Linked DNA regions of Oryzias latipes. The protein of the gene in region 1 purifies or fractionates together with the protein of each later gene. This does not show direct contact. Links are inferred from orthologs where the notes say so. Each region holds a gene or a part of one and is shown in the gene's direction. Other genes may lie near its edges.

Region 1 (4,122 bases):
AAGAGATCAATCTGTATAAATAAAGTTTTAATAATGTAGAATTACTAATTTGGATTTAAAAAAAAGCATCATGCAGACCCTTTCTAAAAAAAAACAATATTAGAATAAGAAGTTTCTTGACCCGATGAACCCGACAGTTGGATGCGTCTCCTGAAGGTGGAGGTTCTTGAAGCTGTTCCTCCACCTCATTCCAGGCTTTCTGGAGGTCTGCAGCTCCTTGAATCTTGTCCTTTTGATGATCCGCTGAAGTCTCTTTGCTGGAATTTTAAATATAAAAATTGAAGGGTTATCTAAAAGGAGCTGCATTACCAGAATGCAGGGTTGAATGTTATCTTGCTGAAGAAATGGCTGAGGTTGTTTGCTAACCATGCCAACTACCCCTGGGCTTACTCAACAATGCCGAAATTCTTTATATGTCCATATTGAGTGGTTTTCAATATGTTCAGTTCAAACCGTAGGTCGTGTCGCCATCCCATAATGATTTCAAAACATGTTATAGTCCAAAGCCTTATGAGCATTTTACGTTTGAATGGTGTCTAGCTAAAATTATGTTGAAGTTATAATGGTTGAAAGAAGCAAATGTTTTCAAGGATTCCACATGTATTTAAATGGAGCCAGAAATCATGGACTATCTTGAAGAGTTCAAAGATTCATAGGACCTAAAGTCATAGCTGGAAGGAATAAGCTGAACATTGTAATAGTTGAGTGGTTAAAATAGGTGAAAAATTGTAGAAGGAGTTAAGTGCAGAAAAACGGCAGAATATGCTATGAAAAAGAAACAGTGGTTTACAGCATTCAACCAAATAAATCAAGAGAAACAAGAAAACAATTATGGAAGCGACTCTGTAGCATAAATAAAAATTAAAGTCAATACCAGAAAAGTCAATACTAGAATACCATTTTCAAAATGAATTTTTGCATTTCTATTAATCCATTTTGTCAAATTAGACATTTCTAAATGAATTTTGTTAAACATTTACCAGAGAACGTTTTGAGAATGAAATGTCAAATACCATTTTCATTATCATTTTAATTAAGTGACAGAATGAACGGTGTTGAAGAAGAAAATGAAAAAGCATTTTGGTGGATTGCTTTTTCATTTTCGTTTTGAGTCAAAAAATGCAGCTTCATTTTGAAAATGAAAAAGCATTTCTAGTTTTGACTTTTATTTTTAATTATGCTACAGAATCGCTTCCATAAACAATGGGTTGAATGCTGTTGTTTTTTTGTGTGGTTTTTTTGTGCCATGAATCATCAGTCAAAGACGAGGAAAAAGTCTTTGCAGACAAAATGCAGGAAAGCGAAAAACAACTCCTGTCAGACAGCGCGCAGGTCGAAGGCTGAGCGTCCGACATCCGTACTTCCGCTCTATCCGTGGTTTTGATAACAGCATCCGTTAGCTCGGTCATTTAACGCCGACAGGTCATTTTTGCCTATTAGAAAGTTACACCTTTCTGAAGTTTACTTCAACATTTTGAGTTTCCAGCCTATGTAAACTTTGACGTAGAAAACGTGAGTTTAATGCGAGTTCCGCAGGTTAACTGGGGTTAGCTGCTAGCTTGTGTAGCCTGTCTTTCGTCGTCTTCGCGGAGGTCCGCTTCGAGCTGCTGGGCTTCAGCCTTATGGCCTGATCCAAACGCCGAGAAGAGCTGGTTTACGTTGACACGGACTCGATAATTCGGAGTCATTGGCTGGTAAGTCCGCTGGAGGAGTCTCAGCTGCGGGGCAAGAGTAAAGGCAGCAAGGCCCGAGAGAGACGGCGCCCGAGACTGTTGACCACAACACGTCAGCTGATCGATGCGCCACGAGAGCACAACATGCTGATCAGCACAACAGCAGGTCTGGGCTGACGGTTCTGGTTGGTACTGTAGTTGGGACTGATTCAGGTTCAGAACATACGGACAGGTGGAGGAGGAACGCCTTCCCAGGTCACGTGAGCTCACAGGAAGTTTGGAAGTGAAGTTGGTGAACCGTCTTTATTCAGGACTCACTGATGTTTGAATTACCGACCGACCGACGCCTTCAAGTTAGGACCAAAAAGACAGGTCCAGTTCTTGGTCATCTGCTTAAACGTGATGTTATTGAAAGCATCAGAATGACCAAAGTCAACAAAATAAAGCAATAAAAAGTGAAGGCAATGTAATGAGCTCAACAACAGACACTACTGCCCCTGTCTGCCTAAAGCGGTGTCACTAAAAACCTAAAAAAACGTTAAATAACAATCAGCAAAGTCTTCCTAAGGTCTGAGGATTTGACCAAACTATAGCTTGCTTTGCTGCAATTGGGCTCGCACAAAAACCATAACCTTACTGTCACTGTCATGTTGGCCTGTGTGATAAATACGGACCTAAATGTTTACACACATGCTGAAACAATCTCAGCTTGAAGTTTCTAACAAATAGAATTCAGCCCTTTAAGCATTGGAGCTGGATGCCCATCTCCTTTGTAGATGATGGGCATTTAGAGAAAATGTAAGTTATGTTGACCTTTATTTAACTTACACTGTGGCAGTGAAATGGAAATGATGTATGTTTTTTGTTTTCTCTAATTATTCATGTTTTGCAAGTCATATCATCATGCCAGTACTGATCACTACCATTGCGTGTTTTCCTCACATCGTGCAGCCCAGCTGTAATAACAATAGAAATCCATTTCCAATGTAATTTACTGGTTTTATTTCTGACAAGCTGCAGTTTATTATGAAATTACCTTTCATTTTGAAGCATTAGCAAAGTCATTAGCAAAGCAAAAGAAAATACAAAACAAAATAAATAAATAGACTTATTTGAGTAAAATGACATTTTGTCTATTTTTTTCATCATCAATTAAATTACAGTTTTATGTATGTTGTCCAATATTTCCTATGAATATTAATATTGTGAAAAAAGTGGATAGCTTTACTTTGAAAATGAGAACCAACACTTTACTTTGAAGTTTTATTTACTTCAGGTCTCAGTGGTTCATGCAGCTGTGTTCAGTTCATATCATTAAAATCCAACATTATTCTGCATTGAAGAATAACACTCTCTATGACACTCTCATAGATTCATGAAGATCACAAATCAGCGTTGCAAATATTTGTACTAGTACATTCAGGGAAATATATCCGAGTACTTGGATACACTTTACAGCCCTGGTCATTAATGATTTTTCTCAAACATGCCTCATATTTATAGCTCCTCCGAAGCCTTGGCGTAACCCTTGTGCTATCCTAGGCACTTTAATATTGGGAGTTGGGTCATCTGGACCCACTAGACAGTGCTCTGAACCTTTTTTCTTCAATGATTTGTGATCTTCACTGGTGTCCATGGATTACATGAAATCTTTCCACCTTTGTCATGGTAGAGAGAACACGTCAATGGAAGGACGGGGGGTCATCTAAGATGGCACAAGGGTTAACCTGATCTAAGTTCAGTCAACTCCTGATAGATCAGTAATCAAAGTTCTTTGTTTCTTGTCATTTGCAGCTCTCGGTGGAGCTTCCCCTGTTGACTCTACTCCGGCCAGAGCTCCGCCTTCTCTCTGAGGCTGTATTGAGCCACCATGCTCACTTAGAGCCAGCCAGTGGGCCCGTGTCTTGCAACCAGAATCCTCAGTGACCATGTCCGAGAACCAAGCCAATAACGTCCCTCTGAACAACAACATTGGACCCAACAGGATTCGAAACCCCAACATCAACCAGAACCCCCTCATCAATGTCCGCGACCGCCTCTTCCACGCGCTGTTTTTCAAGATGGCTGTTACCTACGCCCGTCTCTTCCCTCCGTCTTTCAGGAGAGTTTTTGAGTTTTTTGTCCTCCTCAAGGTGAGAGAAGCAGAACTGTCTGGCTTTATGGACAGAAACTGACTGGCTAACGAGAAGCATTGCTGAGCTCTTTAACCGCTTTGAATGGAGGGAAACTCTGCTTCCCAAAAACCTCCGTTTTACCAAGACTGTCCATCCGTCTAGGTTTTAGTCTGCAGATCAGCATTCTGTGATGTGTTTCAACTCTGGTATAGTTTCTGAGACTACATGAACATTTGGTTTCAGTCTGAATTTTGGTCGGTTTTATTTGGAGAACAGAGGTTAATGGCATTATTATTAACGTTCCACTGTTGTGGCAGAAGGTCACAGTTGTGTAG
Region 2 (4,286 bases), on another chromosome or scaffold:
GGTGTGGGAGCCCCACAGGGCACTGTGCTCTCTCCATTTCTGTTCACCTTATACACCTCAGATTTTTAGCACAACTCAGAGTCATGTCACCTACAGAAATTCTCTGATGACTCTGTGGTTGTGGGGTGTATAAGCGGTGGACAGGAGGAGGAGTACAGGAGGCTGGTGGATGGATTTGTGGAGTGGGCTGGAGAGAATCACCTGCTGCTCAACGTGGACAAGACCAGGGAAATGGTGATCGACTTCCGGAGGAAAAGGACTGTCTTACAACGCCTCTGCATGGGCAAGGATGTAGAAGCGGTGGAGGAGTATAAATATCTGGGTGTGACTATCGACAGCAGACTGAGCTGGAGGAGCCACAGCACTGCTGTGTACAAGAAGGCCTGCAGCAGACTCTACTTCCTTAGGAAGCTGAGGTCCTTTAATGTGTGCAGCAAGATGCTGGGGATCTTCTACCAGTCTGTGGTAGCCAGCACCCTGTTCTCCTCCTTGGTCTGCTGGGGAAGCAGCATTGCAGTCAGTGACACCAACAGACTGAACAAGCTGATCAGGAAGGCGGGTTCTGTCATTGGCTGCAAACAGGACACCTTTGAAGCAGTGATGGAGAGGAGGTCCCTGAACAGACTCCTTTCAATCATGGACAACCCAGAGCATCCTCTTCACCCTCTTCTGAACAAACAGCGGAGCTCCTTCTCTAGGAGGCTCAGACAGCTCCGCTCCAAAACTGCCCAGTACCAAAAGTCATTCATACCCAATGCAATAACCCTGTACAACACACAATGCAAAAAATAACCTTTGCACATCTTTTATTACCTATTTATTTAGTTGTTTTCTATTTTGCACATTTCTTTTGCACATCTTCTACTTGCACTGTTCTGTAAATAGCTTTTTAAATTATAATACCTTGATGTCTGTATTTATGCTACATTTTCTTGTTCTTGTTTTTTTTTTTTTTTTTTTTTTACTTAATTCTTAGTCTTTTTTCCCCTCTGCTGTCAGTTGCTATGGTGACAAACAAATTTCCCACGTGTGGGATCAATAAAGTATCTCTGATTCTGATAACACCTTGAAATGATGTATTAAAAGGTAAAGGTTGAATTAGGCAGCTGACTTTAGGCAGATTAAGTAAACTAGTCGTTACATAAGAGATCTATTTTGAAACTTCAAGGATACAGGAACTATGAGGCAAATTGAGTCTCTCCCCGTGTGAGTTTAAACCACCATTACGATATGATTGACAATGTGTTTTATAAAACAATTGAATGTAATGATCGAGAAAGCTTACGTTTTTTCACTTTTTGACTGTTCCCTTTAGGGAATGTCTCCGACCATTTAAGCTGTGTGCATCTTTGCTCACACCAACCACTTCTCACTCCACGAACGTCTTTGGTCTGTCTTTCATCCACCATAAGGTTTCTCATTCATTTCTGATCAACGGCCTGAACGTGTGGTGTTTCACCAAGTACCAGCAGATGGCAGCATGCCACCATCATCGCGTTGGTTCTACCGGGAGGCCAGAAGAAGAAGCGTGAACAGGAAGTGACCATCTGGCGAACATTAGCCTGGAAGCCCACGGGCTAACAACTCATGATATGACGTTTGGACCTTAATCAGTGAGTTTCAAGTCTGTCTGTTTGTTCCGAGGCTTCCTCTTAGCCTCTGTTTGGGTCCAGCTCTAAACAAGGTTCGGTCAGGTTGTTCGTATCCCGCTCTGAACTCGTTCTCTTGTCAGAGTTGTTAGTTAGCTTCTCGGAACTTAGGTTCCGATAAAGCCAGGTTACACTAGAGACCATGGTTTGGTTCGAGTTGCATGTTTGGATCTGCACATACATAGTCCGGCCGTCCACCCTCCAGGTGAGATGTGCTTCTGTGTGTCACGTGACGTGATTAACAGGTGGCATTACAGGGCGCGTGGGGAGCTGACCTCAGTTTGACAACGCTCAGACATCGAGGAAAGATCACAGGTGCGGCCGCAGTGTAAAAGTGAAATAATGAGGGTTTGGCTGGGTAACAGTCATCTTAGTGAGGCAGTTTAGAACGGTTCAGGGTCCGGGAATACTTTGAAAATGCCACGTGGGTTATACTGGGAGTTTGTTTACAAAAAGAACAGGTGAGTGCGGAGAGGGCTTCTTCAACCACGTCATCATAGTTGTACTGCTCGCATTTTAAAGTTTCCTGGGTTTTTTTTCTTCATAATACTTTTATTAGGGCACATTGAATAAATACCTATGTAAACTGAAGCAGCACTTAAATGCTAACTGTGTTTGATACATTCAATCAAAAAATGAACAAGTAAAAGTATAAAAAGGAAACACGTTGAAAATAGATCAAAAGATCAGGCTGGTTATGGTTAGTCCGGTCAATTCTGAGTTGGTTACATTCACACGGAAAGCTAAGAGTTATTATCGGTGGTGCTCTATGACAAATGAAACTCGTGATGGCTGACGCTAAGCTCCGCCTCCTGTTTGCAGGTGTGTCATCGTGGGCGATGGCTCTAATCGAAGGTGTCGGCGATGAGGTGACGCTGCTCTTTGGCTCACTGCTGGTGTTGTTGGTGTTGCTGCTGGCATGGATCTCCACCCACACCTCTGAGCCCCCAGAGCACCTGTTCAATGCCTCTACAGACCCCACCCCCACAGAAGGCACCGTCTCTGCCCCACAGGACACGCCCCTGTCCTCCACCAGCAGCAGCTCCTTGTCTTTCTCTCCAACGTCATCCTCATCTTCAGCTGCCAGCTCTGTGAATGACAGCGTCCCGTCAGAGGCTCCACCCACGACCTCCGCCACACAGGAAGGTAGTGAGGTGGGGGGAGGAGTCAGACACAGAGCAGGGGGGGAGCCATTGTCCTCCCCAAGAAACATGGTGGTCAGACTAAAATTTCTGAACGACACAGAGAGAACGGCTCAAGTCAAACCACAAGACACCATCGGATACATCAAACGGTAACTTTTCTATCGTATCTATCAGTTTACTTTATTGTACTGCACTACATGGTATTACACTGCACCACACTTCACTGTACTACACCGTACTTTATTCTACTTTTACGTACTTCATTGCAGTACAATTTAACACAGTGTACTGCACTGCAATGGACCATATCACACCATACTTGTCTGTACTCGGTACTGCAATATACCACACTATTATCTATGTAGTATACAGTATTTCACCGTCCTTTACTGTACTTCATTGTACTACATCTTACTACACAGTACTAAAATAGGCTTCAGTGTACAGCACTGTACTACATTGCATTACATTGTACTTACTGTACAACACTGTATTCACTGTTTTATATTCTAGTATACCATCACACTACACTGGAATAAACTGTAATACATTGTACTGGACTGTAGTTTACAACACTAAACTCTAATTCACCATCCCATACACTGAACCATACTGTACAACACAACACAAAGGACTGCATTACTGTAATACGGTGCACTTTACCATACTATATTGCACTACAGAATTGCCACCTTATTCGCGCAGGGGGGGGTCAGAGGCACCCGGAAATACTGGAAGCACCCCCAACCCCTGTGGGGGAAGAATGTCCGCCACAGATCCTCACTCATCAAAAACCCTTCTGAAATATTTCTGATACTTTATAAAACATTGAACATTGGAATATTGCTCAACATGAAGAGTTTTTTTTTATTCAGATCAATAGACTGATACTTTATATCACACATTAGGAGTGTCTCTCTGTCTCATGCTTCCTCCTTCATCAGTTAAGTGTGAGAGGGCATCTTCTTCCTCAAGAGGCTGGTTTCCATCATTCATTCATTGGGATGATAATTATTCTCCGCAATTATCTTCCTCAGCGTATCAGGATTGTTTTTGCCCACTTCTGAGTCAGATGATGCTATTTCTGCATGCAGGGACACAAACTTCGGCTGCAGTTCTGTATGTCAGTTTAGATCTTTATTATGAAGCTGCTGAGGGCGTGTGGAAGAAATCTGGTTCATCAAACTTTGAGACAGGAAGATGTGGGACGTCTGTCGGTCACGTTTGCTTCATGAATTGAAGCAAACATCGTGAGGACCCCACAGGAGGACACGCATCCAGCAAAGAAGGCCTTTCTGGTTCTTCTCAATGTTTCAGGAATACAATAGGAATCTTGAAGCTGCAGCTCTGTCTGCAACATTTCTCCTCCTCATCATCATCATCATGGTTCATAGCAGCAGTTATACGTAACCACAGAATGCTGGATAAATGCAGCTGAAGCTGTTGCTCTGAAAAAGAAAAGCTTCACAGTCGGTTTGTTTTAAACATTCAC
Region 3 (4,273 bases), on another chromosome or scaffold:
TTCCCTTGATGAAAACAGTCAAATTGAGACATAAAGAAAAAACTGTGATAAATTGTGTTTTTATTTTTTAAATATATACAAAAAAATGTTTAAAGTGTACAAAAAAGCTGCTTTATGACTTTGAAAAAATAAATGTAAAAAAAATGTGAATACAAATTTGAATGTAAAGTTTTGTTCAGGTGAAATTAATTGTTTTAGAGCAATACAGATTGATAAAAACTACATTTAAAAACTTTTTCTGTTTCATTCTTGAGTTACACATTACACTACACAAATTTGTCTTTTTTGATTAACAGTTAAAATTGAAACCATGTTTTTTTGCTGTATATTCTAGTAAAAAAACTATCACTGTTGTCATTTTTTCTATATTTCCAGGGGCGCAAAAAGTAGGTATGCAGCACATGATTGGTATGGGGGCGCCGGCCAAAGGGGGCGCCAAACCGATGTTATTACAATTATTTATAGTCCGTATTTTTTAATTTCCCACCTGTTTGTGCACTTATATTTACATGATATGGTCAGTAACAGAAGCACATCGTAACTGATTGGGTGCCCCCACGGCAGTTTTCATAATAAATAAATAAAATCATGCATTAGCAAGACGTTCAATTTATTTTAAACATGAAATAATTGTTGGTTGGCCATATGATTTAGTGGAGAAGAACACAGACAAGAGGTGAAGGAGACAGACGTGAGGTTGGTGATGCATCTGATATACAAGAGAGCAGAAATGACTTCAGGTAGGAATAATTAAACTATTGAAGTCACAAAAACCTAGATGCTCATTCTGGTTTAAGCTTCTGCTGACCACCTGTTCACTTATTTTAGGAAAACAAGTGCAGACATACATGACAAGTCAGTCCCAACAGAGAAGAATAAGGAGAGAGGTTCAGATGATGATGATGATAGAGAGAAAGAGAGACGATCAGCTGATGATGAAGAGGGAGAAGAACAGAGAGGTGCAGAGGAGAGAGCCGGGGCCAGGCTTTACTCAGAAGATCCTTCTGAATGAGCTTCACCACACAAATTTGGGGAATCATTGAGGCAATACACGGTTGTAAATAGCTCACTAAAATATTCTGATACTCCAAGATCAGATAAGAAGTAATGAGATGTACACAGTTAAACAATAAAGGTGTTGTTTAGATAGCTTTAGGAGGGGTGGATGAGATGTTTTTTTAATGTGCATTTATGTCTGTGTGCGTGGGGGGGGGGGGGGGGGGTAATGAGGCCGCATGTGAAATTAGGTAGTTGCGCCCCTGTTTATTTCTTCAAGGTTTTTATTACGTTTATGATTTTTTTTTAAATGTATGCACGCTAAAAACTTCTCGGTTATTTAAAGAAAAGTTTTAAACTTTTTTCTATAAAGTTCGTTTTAAAGAAATTATTAAGGGTTGTTGGCTATTTCGTGAATATTCTGCCCCGCCTTCTTTCTTTTGACCAGGAACTAACTTGTCGCGTGCTTGTGAAGCAGCGGATATGACGTCACATCATGTAAGAATATTTTTCCTAACTCAGAACTTCAACTTATGGTTTGCCGCTGTGATTCAATTTGGACGTAGATATCAGACTGGTTTATAATTTAAACTGTTTTTCTGTAGTACTTTTTATTGTTTGTTTATTTTCGTAGTAAAGTATACGTCAGTGGGTAAAAACCCGTCTTTACGGCTTTGTTTGCTAGCATTAGCCTGGAATTAAACGGACCGAGCGACCAACTGCGAAAATTCATTGAAACTCCGTGACTCATTGTCTTCGTTTGCTATCCAGTGGGGCCTTCATATGTGCGAGTTTTGAGGCAAGTTCGTTAGTGTTGGCTGTGAGGATCCAGATTTGATTATGGCCGCGGCTGCCCCCTCAGCCCCAGCCTCTGGCTCCACGGCTGAAAGCACAACTTCGGGATCGAGCAGCTCGGCCGCAGCGGAGGGAGGCAGCCAGGACAGCACCTTCGAGTGTAACATCTGCCTGGACACCGCGAAAGATGCTGTGATCAGTCTTTGCGGACACCTCTTCTGGTAAGTTACCAGCTATTCTTTACTATGTTTACATGGTTGAAATTCCTCCTAGTATTTGTTTGAGACTGTAGTTCTGCATGTGTAACAAGTAAAATACATGAATGTAAACATCAGTAAAGCAAACACACCAAAAAAAATTCCCCATATAGCTATACAACTGTGTTCTGTTGCCTTTTGGTCTCAAAAGTATAATTAAATTGTAAGGGTTAGGATCGTTAATGTTATCAACAGTCCTTGGGAACCCCCACTTCTTTTGGGTGCCCTCCTCCTGGGCAGGGGTGCCTGGCCCCGCTTTGCCCTCTCCTGGACCTCCCATGGGCTGGGTGGGTGGCTGCCTGGAGCATGGGGTGGGTCTCCCTTGGGTGGGGGGATGCTCAGAAACGAACTCCTGGGTGGTGGGCTGCTCATCTGGGGCTTGGGTGCTCTCCTATTGGGGGGCTATTCTTCTGGTCGGGCTGGGCCTTGCACTCTCTTTTCCCCTTTGCCTCCCTGCTGTCTGGCATTGGGGGGGGGCTGTGGCGATCCTGCTGGCCCTGGCCTGGGTGGCAGATGTGATTGCCCGGCCGGCAGTTTTTCTTTATCTGCTATATCATGCGGGAGTTGGGGGTCCTGACTACCACTGCTGCTTCAGCCGGGGTCTTGGGGTGGGGATGACTGGGCACTCTCTCTCTTTTTTTTTTTACATTCCCTCATCCACCTCAGAAGGACATAAACCTCTCTCTTCTTCCCTCTTCTTCTTTTCTGTCCGGTCCAACAAAAAACGGTTTCAAATATATTTAATATAAATAAAGTTAAGTCTAAATTACCGAAGTGGTATATTAAAATATTCATCTTGTGTGTTAGAAGATTCATAACCCCCTGTTGTACCGTAATGTCTGACACAAGAGGCCTTCAGCTCTCATCTGTTTGCTCAGCTGTTGAACAGGAAAAGTAAAAAAAAAAGGATAGTTAAAACCATATTTTTTTCAAGATAAAAATAATAATTTTTTGCATATTTTGCCAGAGAATCTAATCACATGAGAAATTCTCCAAAAACTGCAGGATGATAAATAAAAGGAACTTGAACATATTGTTTTCCTATTGAGTTATGCGTGCTGATAAGATTGTATTTAAAAGAATGTCAATGTTTTTAAGTACAAGGGAGCCAATTAAACTGTGAATAGAGCTTCGTAGAATAGTTTATGAAGCTTATCTGTGGTTAACTCAGATTTTTGACCTGAAGTTGTTTTGTAACATAAAGAAATCAATAGGTTTGGTCATACGACTGAAGAATTTAGCTAAACGTCATGTTACTACTTGCAGCTAACAAACTGATATTTCAGAAGCATCTCTGAAAGTTGTAGTTCTGGAGTTAGATAACTGGTACATCGCCTGTCCGTCCTGGGGAGGATCCCTCCTTCATGTGGACACCCCTGAGAGTTCTTCTTTTTTTACGGAGTCCGTTTGTTTTAGGAGTTTTTCCTTACCATGAAGGAGGGGTCTGAGGGCAGAGATGCCCTGTTTAGTTTAATCTGTTTAGTTGATTCAGTTTAAAATTTTCCTATTGAATTCAATATATTTTTGATCCTTTTATTTTATGTTTACTTTACAATTACTGGTACGAAGCCCATTGAGATAACTGTTGTTGGGATTTTGGGCTGTACAAATAAAATGTAATTGAATTGAAAGCAACAGGAAGCCTCATTGTAAATCTGCGTACAATACCGAAGTGTAGAGACTCACCAGAAATAGACTTCCAAGTTTAAATCAGGTCCTGGGTGTCTTAAGCTGCATAGAAACTTCTAAAATTCCACTATTTTTTCTCAAATTAATGTTTTTGTGTTTTCTGTAAATAAATTCCATATGTTATTTATCTCAGCGACTTCAGTCTTGTGTCGTGCAGCATTTGGGTAGTGTATAAAAAAGGCAGATCCAATGGAACAATAAAGCTTTAGAAAAAAATATGTGTTATTCTGTTTAATGTTTTTTTGTAAAGGGCCAATTCAGTACCAGGTTGTCTTAAAGTTTAGAGAAAGATCAAAGTCTAAAAGTTACATTTTGAATTTTTATAATTTGAATAATAGCACAATTACATTTCCGTGTGTCCTTTATAAACATTTGGCAAATTACATAAGGGAATTTTAAGTGTAATGCTCTGTACAGATCTTCTTTAATCAGGCTTGTATTATTATTTTAATGAATGAAATGTGATCTCTATTCTTTTAACTTCTATAGTTGGCCGTGTTTGCATCAGGTAAGCAGCTTTGTCTTCTTCTCTTAAC
Region 4 (4,089 bases), on another chromosome or scaffold:
CTATAGAATATGTTTGGTTTCTGACGTTTGACATCGTGCCGAGAGCAAGGAGTCAAATATCCCGTGTGCGTAAAAAGCGCGCTGACTGCCAGGGTTAGACGGAGTGCGTAAAAAGCGCATCTGGTCTCCATTGAGAGCCACAAACGTTCAGTCTTTATATAAAATAATGTGAAAAACATGTCAGGAAGCAGTTCATGCTCCGAAAAGTTTAATGCATTTCATTTTTTTAAACCGCAAACAATACCGCGGAAGCACACAACCCCAGAGTACTGTTTTAAAGTTTTGCAGCATACCAAAAGTTTAAACAGGGCATTGTAAACTTTTGGTTTGAAAAAACTGGAAAGGGCAAAAACAAGAACTGCTTCGGTATAAGAATAAACTGAAAATGTGTTCACAACCATGTGTTTATATGCAATAACGAATTCTGATAGCATTTCACTTTAAATACAGCTTGATGCTGGTTTTCAGAAATTCCCCCATAAAGTAATAGAAACAAGATTAGATGGTTAAAAAAGGTCCTTTTTTAACCAAGACCTTTTTTAACCATCTAATCTTGTTTCTATTACTTTATGGGGGAATTTCTGAAAACCAGCATCAAGCTGTATTTAAAGTGAAATGCTATCAGAATTCGTTATCCAAAAAATGATTTTGATTAATTGGACCAAAGTTTGAGGGACAAGCCCTTAATCAATTGTATTGACAGGGAACATGTGTTTCTAAAATCACATGTTGATTTTTATTGAATTTTGAGTTTAAAAAGACATACATACACACACACACACACACACACACACACACACACACACACACACACACACACACACACACACACACATATATATATATATATATATATATATATATATATATATATATATATATATATATATATATATATATATATATATATATATATATATATATATAAAATAAAAAAACATATATATTCCATAAAGTAAAAAAAAAGATAACGATTTCCCTAGGAGGTATACAAAAACAAGCAACAACAACACAACTCATGAAATAAACTCATCAAAAAAGAATCACAATAAAAACAAATAAGGATGATCAACAGCTGATAAATTAGGGGGGAAATAAATATTTTATTTAGTTCAAACAAACCAAAAATACATAGGTCTATGGTGGAAATGATAAATAAATTCTTTAATATTGTGTATCTAAAAAACCTCCAGTTTTCTTCTGTTTTCCTGAGTGCTGCTGAGCAGCGCCCTCTGGTGTTCGTTGCGTAACACAGGCTAAGGAAACGTGTCCCGTTTCAGATGATCCGGGGCTGATGGAACGCAGCGTCGGTGGAGACATGGGAGGAAAAGAGGACGCGAAGATGCTAGAAAACACAGTTAAACAATTCATCGAGTATGTCCGCAAACAGGTTGAAGAGCAAGACCCAGTTTTTCTGATCAGCGTCGTCGTGGCCTTAGCGGCGATCATCATCACCTGCGGTAAAGTTTGCGTCAGTCTCTTACCGTTAACCGATTAGCTTAGCATGCTACTAGGCCAGGCATGTGGCTCAATGGAAGTAGTTTGTTGGGAGTTTGAGGGGTTTGTTTCTGCGCGGGGTCAGGTTCTAGCATTCAAATGTGTGTTTATGAACAATTTTAATTGTGCTTTTACGGTTGTAGCCGCATTGAAAATGGAGAAAGCTAGCTGCTAAGCTAAAGCTAGCAGCTGTCTGTTGCGCCTCACAGGAAGCCATTCAAACTTTGCAGACTAACAAACATTAAAACTCTCTGCTTTTTGTCTTCAGTTTTTCTGAAGTACTTCCTCACCAGCAAAACCGTCCGGAGCGCCGTGCTGCTGGTCGGACTGTGTGACTCCGGGAAGACCCTCCTGTTCAGTCGGGTGGGTTTGACCTCTGACCCGCTGGCTCCTGCTGTGATCCTGAGGGGACTGTTTTGATGGTGGCTTTTCTGTTTTCACAGCTAGTATCAGGGAAGTTCAAGCGAACACAGACCTCCATCACTGACAGCAGTGCCCCTTATAAAGCCAAAAGTGATAAGGTGAGGTTAAGACATCAAAACAACAACATATCAAGCCATGTGGGCTGGTTTCTCAACGGATTGTGTCGTCTTCTGATTCCAGGGCACAACTTGGACTCTGATAGACCTGCCAGGTCATGACAGTCTCCGGGCTCAGTACCTGGAGAAGTTCAAGTCAGCAGCCAGGTGAGATGCTAAACGCAATGGCTGGATTGTTTCATGTCAAACACACTTAGGGTTGACTTAATAGGGTAAACAAACAGTTATAAAAGCCGTTATTCTTATAATTCACTTCAGTCCAGATCATTACAGTTCGGACAGATTGAAGGATAATAGGTGGCTATGAGATTAAAGGATTTTTTTGATGTAATCCCCCCTTCTGAGCACGCAAATGAACAAGTATGGAGAGGAAAACTTCTAAATCAAAACATTGTTAGAAACCTCCAGCGGAAGATTTGGTTGATGGGACCATATACCACAACTGATTAAAGACCCACTCCAATAAAAATTGGGGTTTTAACATGTTCTTGTAGATTTATTTTTCTCCTGATGGAGGACATTTAAAAAAAAAAACTACTAAACTACATTTCTGAGTATTTCTTTATTTAAATCGTTGTGAATCAGGAGCAGATGAAAAAATATATTTTTTTTGATGCACCACTAATGTTAGCTTGGTGTTTTAAGATAGCGGGAGAGCGTATAAAGAAAGGGATCATGGGAAGTCAGGCCATGCTTACTCTGTGCCAATGGCCCCAGCCCACAATTTCTAAGTAACTCCTGCTGCTCCTTCAGCATAATCCTAATAAAAAAAAAACACAAGGAAGAAGTTTACAATAGATCAGAAGATAATTGGAATGGGCCTTAAACATACATACGTGCAGATGAGAGTGCAGACAGGGCCGAGTACGTTTTCAACACAGCGTCTGCCTCCCAAACTCTTGGACTAACATGATGTCTTAAGGCTCTGCCACCGATTCTAATTGTGAAACTTTTGAGATTAACCTCTAATCTTGCTGATTTAGAATGAAGATTCCTGTCTGGAATATATGGAAACTGGGATGTATTTAAGATAAAATGATGCTAATCTTTTTGATGCTTTGTGTGTTCAGAAATTCCAAAATCTGTGTGAATTAATAGAAGTGAAGCCGAAACCCGTAGAAATGTGATCTGTTCCAGCACTGCTTTTAGATTTTGTGTTCTTCCCTTTTACTGTAAAGTTCTTGTTTGAAACTCAGCTCAAGTGCCTTTGAACCAAATCAGAAAAGGGATTTTGTCTCTATGATTACAGTTTGGGCATTCATAGCACATGCATTTGCGTCATGGTGACACTTGGAATGACTCCTCCTTTCTATCCTCAGAGCTATCGTGTTTGTGGTGGACAGCGCCATTTTCCAGAAAGAAGTCAGAGACGTAGCCGAGTTTCTGTACGTCCTGCTGACCGATAGCGTGATCTGCCGAAACACCCCAACTCTCCTGGTGGCGTGCAACAAACAAGGTTTAACATCCTTTTTGTTTTTTATTGCGTAAAAGCCATTGACTGTATGTGAGAACTGGACTGAGTTGCTGCTTGTGCTCCAAATAGAAAGTACCCGCTGGTCCCAAAAAGCCGAAATCCTATAGACTTCTATTGAGAAATTAACAGCTATTACTTATCAAAATAACCATTCTTGCTCTGCTACCCTTTATTAACGTGTTTTTGCTAATCCTAAAACAATGTTTAATATTTTTGCTGTAGCACTAGTTATTCAAATTATAAACTGACCAATCAGATGCTTCAATAAAAGTAGGTGGCCTTGTGTTGAACCTTCGAAGCATTTGATTGACAGACTCTCCTGAACCTGCTTTCAGTGGAAGGGGTGTGGCCTTCTATCATGCTCACTCCTGATTGCAGAGATAGGTTGCCATAGAAATGTAGACTAGGACCGACACGGACCAATCACAGCTTACTGAGGACGTCTGGCTCCAACATGGTGACGGACATGTGGTGGAAGAATGGCGACTGAATTGACTTCATTTGGTTAGTCATTTTTTATTGCTGATGTCACACTCGCTCAGTCCAGTTCTCCATATACAGTCAATGGTAAGAAGTAGA

The links.
Region 2: the proteins of tmem259 (region 1) and tmub1 purify together in Homo sapiens (affinity purification with mass spectrometry; 3 studies listed by BioGRID, with this or other methods). This does not show direct contact. The link is inferred for Oryzias latipes from reciprocal best matches to the Homo sapiens genes TMEM259 and TMUB1.
Region 3: the proteins of tmem259 (region 1) and rnf185 purify together in Homo sapiens (affinity purification with mass spectrometry; 3 studies listed by BioGRID and IntAct, counting the BioPlex papers as one, with this or other methods). This does not show direct contact. The link is inferred for Oryzias latipes from reciprocal best matches to the Homo sapiens genes TMEM259 and RNF185.
Region 4: the proteins of tmem259 (region 1) and srprb purify together in Homo sapiens (affinity purification with mass spectrometry; 3 studies listed by BioGRID and IntAct, counting the BioPlex papers as one, with this or other methods). This does not show direct contact. The link is inferred for Oryzias latipes from reciprocal best matches to the Homo sapiens genes TMEM259 and SRPRB.

What each region holds. Positions count from the first base shown.
Region 1 is NC_019862.2:1,620,143-1,624,264, forward strand, and holds the start of tmem259 (membralin), read left to right. Parts: upstream 1-1,274; 5' UTR 1,275-1,694; intron 1,695-3,467; 5' UTR 3,468-3,601; coding exon 3,602-3,805; intron 3,806-4,122. UniProt on the Homo sapiens protein: May have a role in the ERAD pathway required for clearance of misfolded proteins in the endoplasmic reticulum (ER). Promotes survival of motor neurons, probably by protecting against ER stress.
Region 2 is NC_019875.2:10,862,997-10,867,282, reverse strand, and holds the start of tmub1 (transmembrane and ubiquitin-like domain-containing protein 1), read left to right. Parts: upstream 1-1,433; 5' UTR 1,434-1,854; intron 1,855-1,932; exon of another isoform or gene 1,933-2,110; intron 2,111-2,471; 5' UTR 2,472-2,488; coding exon 2,489-2,943; intron 2,944-4,286. UniProt on the Homo sapiens protein: Involved in sterol-regulated ubiquitination and degradation of HMG-CoA reductase HMGCR. Involved in positive regulation of AMPA-selective glutamate receptor GRIA2 recycling to the cell surface.
Region 3 is NC_019870.2:13,777,191-13,781,463, forward strand, and holds the start of rnf185 (E3 ubiquitin-protein ligase RNF185), read left to right. Parts: upstream 1-1,420; 5' UTR 1,421-1,494; exon of another isoform or gene 1,495-1,767; 5' UTR 1,768-1,836; coding exon 1,837-2,012; intron 2,013-4,226; coding exon 4,227-4,245; intron 4,246-4,273. UniProt on the Homo sapiens protein: E3 ubiquitin-protein ligase that regulates selective mitochondrial autophagy by mediating 'Lys-63'-linked polyubiquitination of BNIP1.
Region 4 is NC_019871.2:13,914,221-13,918,309, forward strand, and holds the start of srprb (signal recognition particle receptor subunit beta), read left to right. Parts: upstream 1-1,247; 5' UTR 1,248-1,294; coding exon 1,295-1,460; intron 1,461-1,765; coding exon 1,766-1,860; intron 1,861-1,940; coding exon 1,941-2,018; intron 2,019-2,100; coding exon 2,101-2,183; intron 2,184-3,355; coding exon 3,356-3,492; intron 3,493-4,089. UniProt on the Homo sapiens protein: Component of the signal recognition particle (SRP) complex receptor (SR). Ensures, in conjunction with the SRP complex, the correct targeting of the nascent secretory proteins to the endoplasmic reticulum membrane system.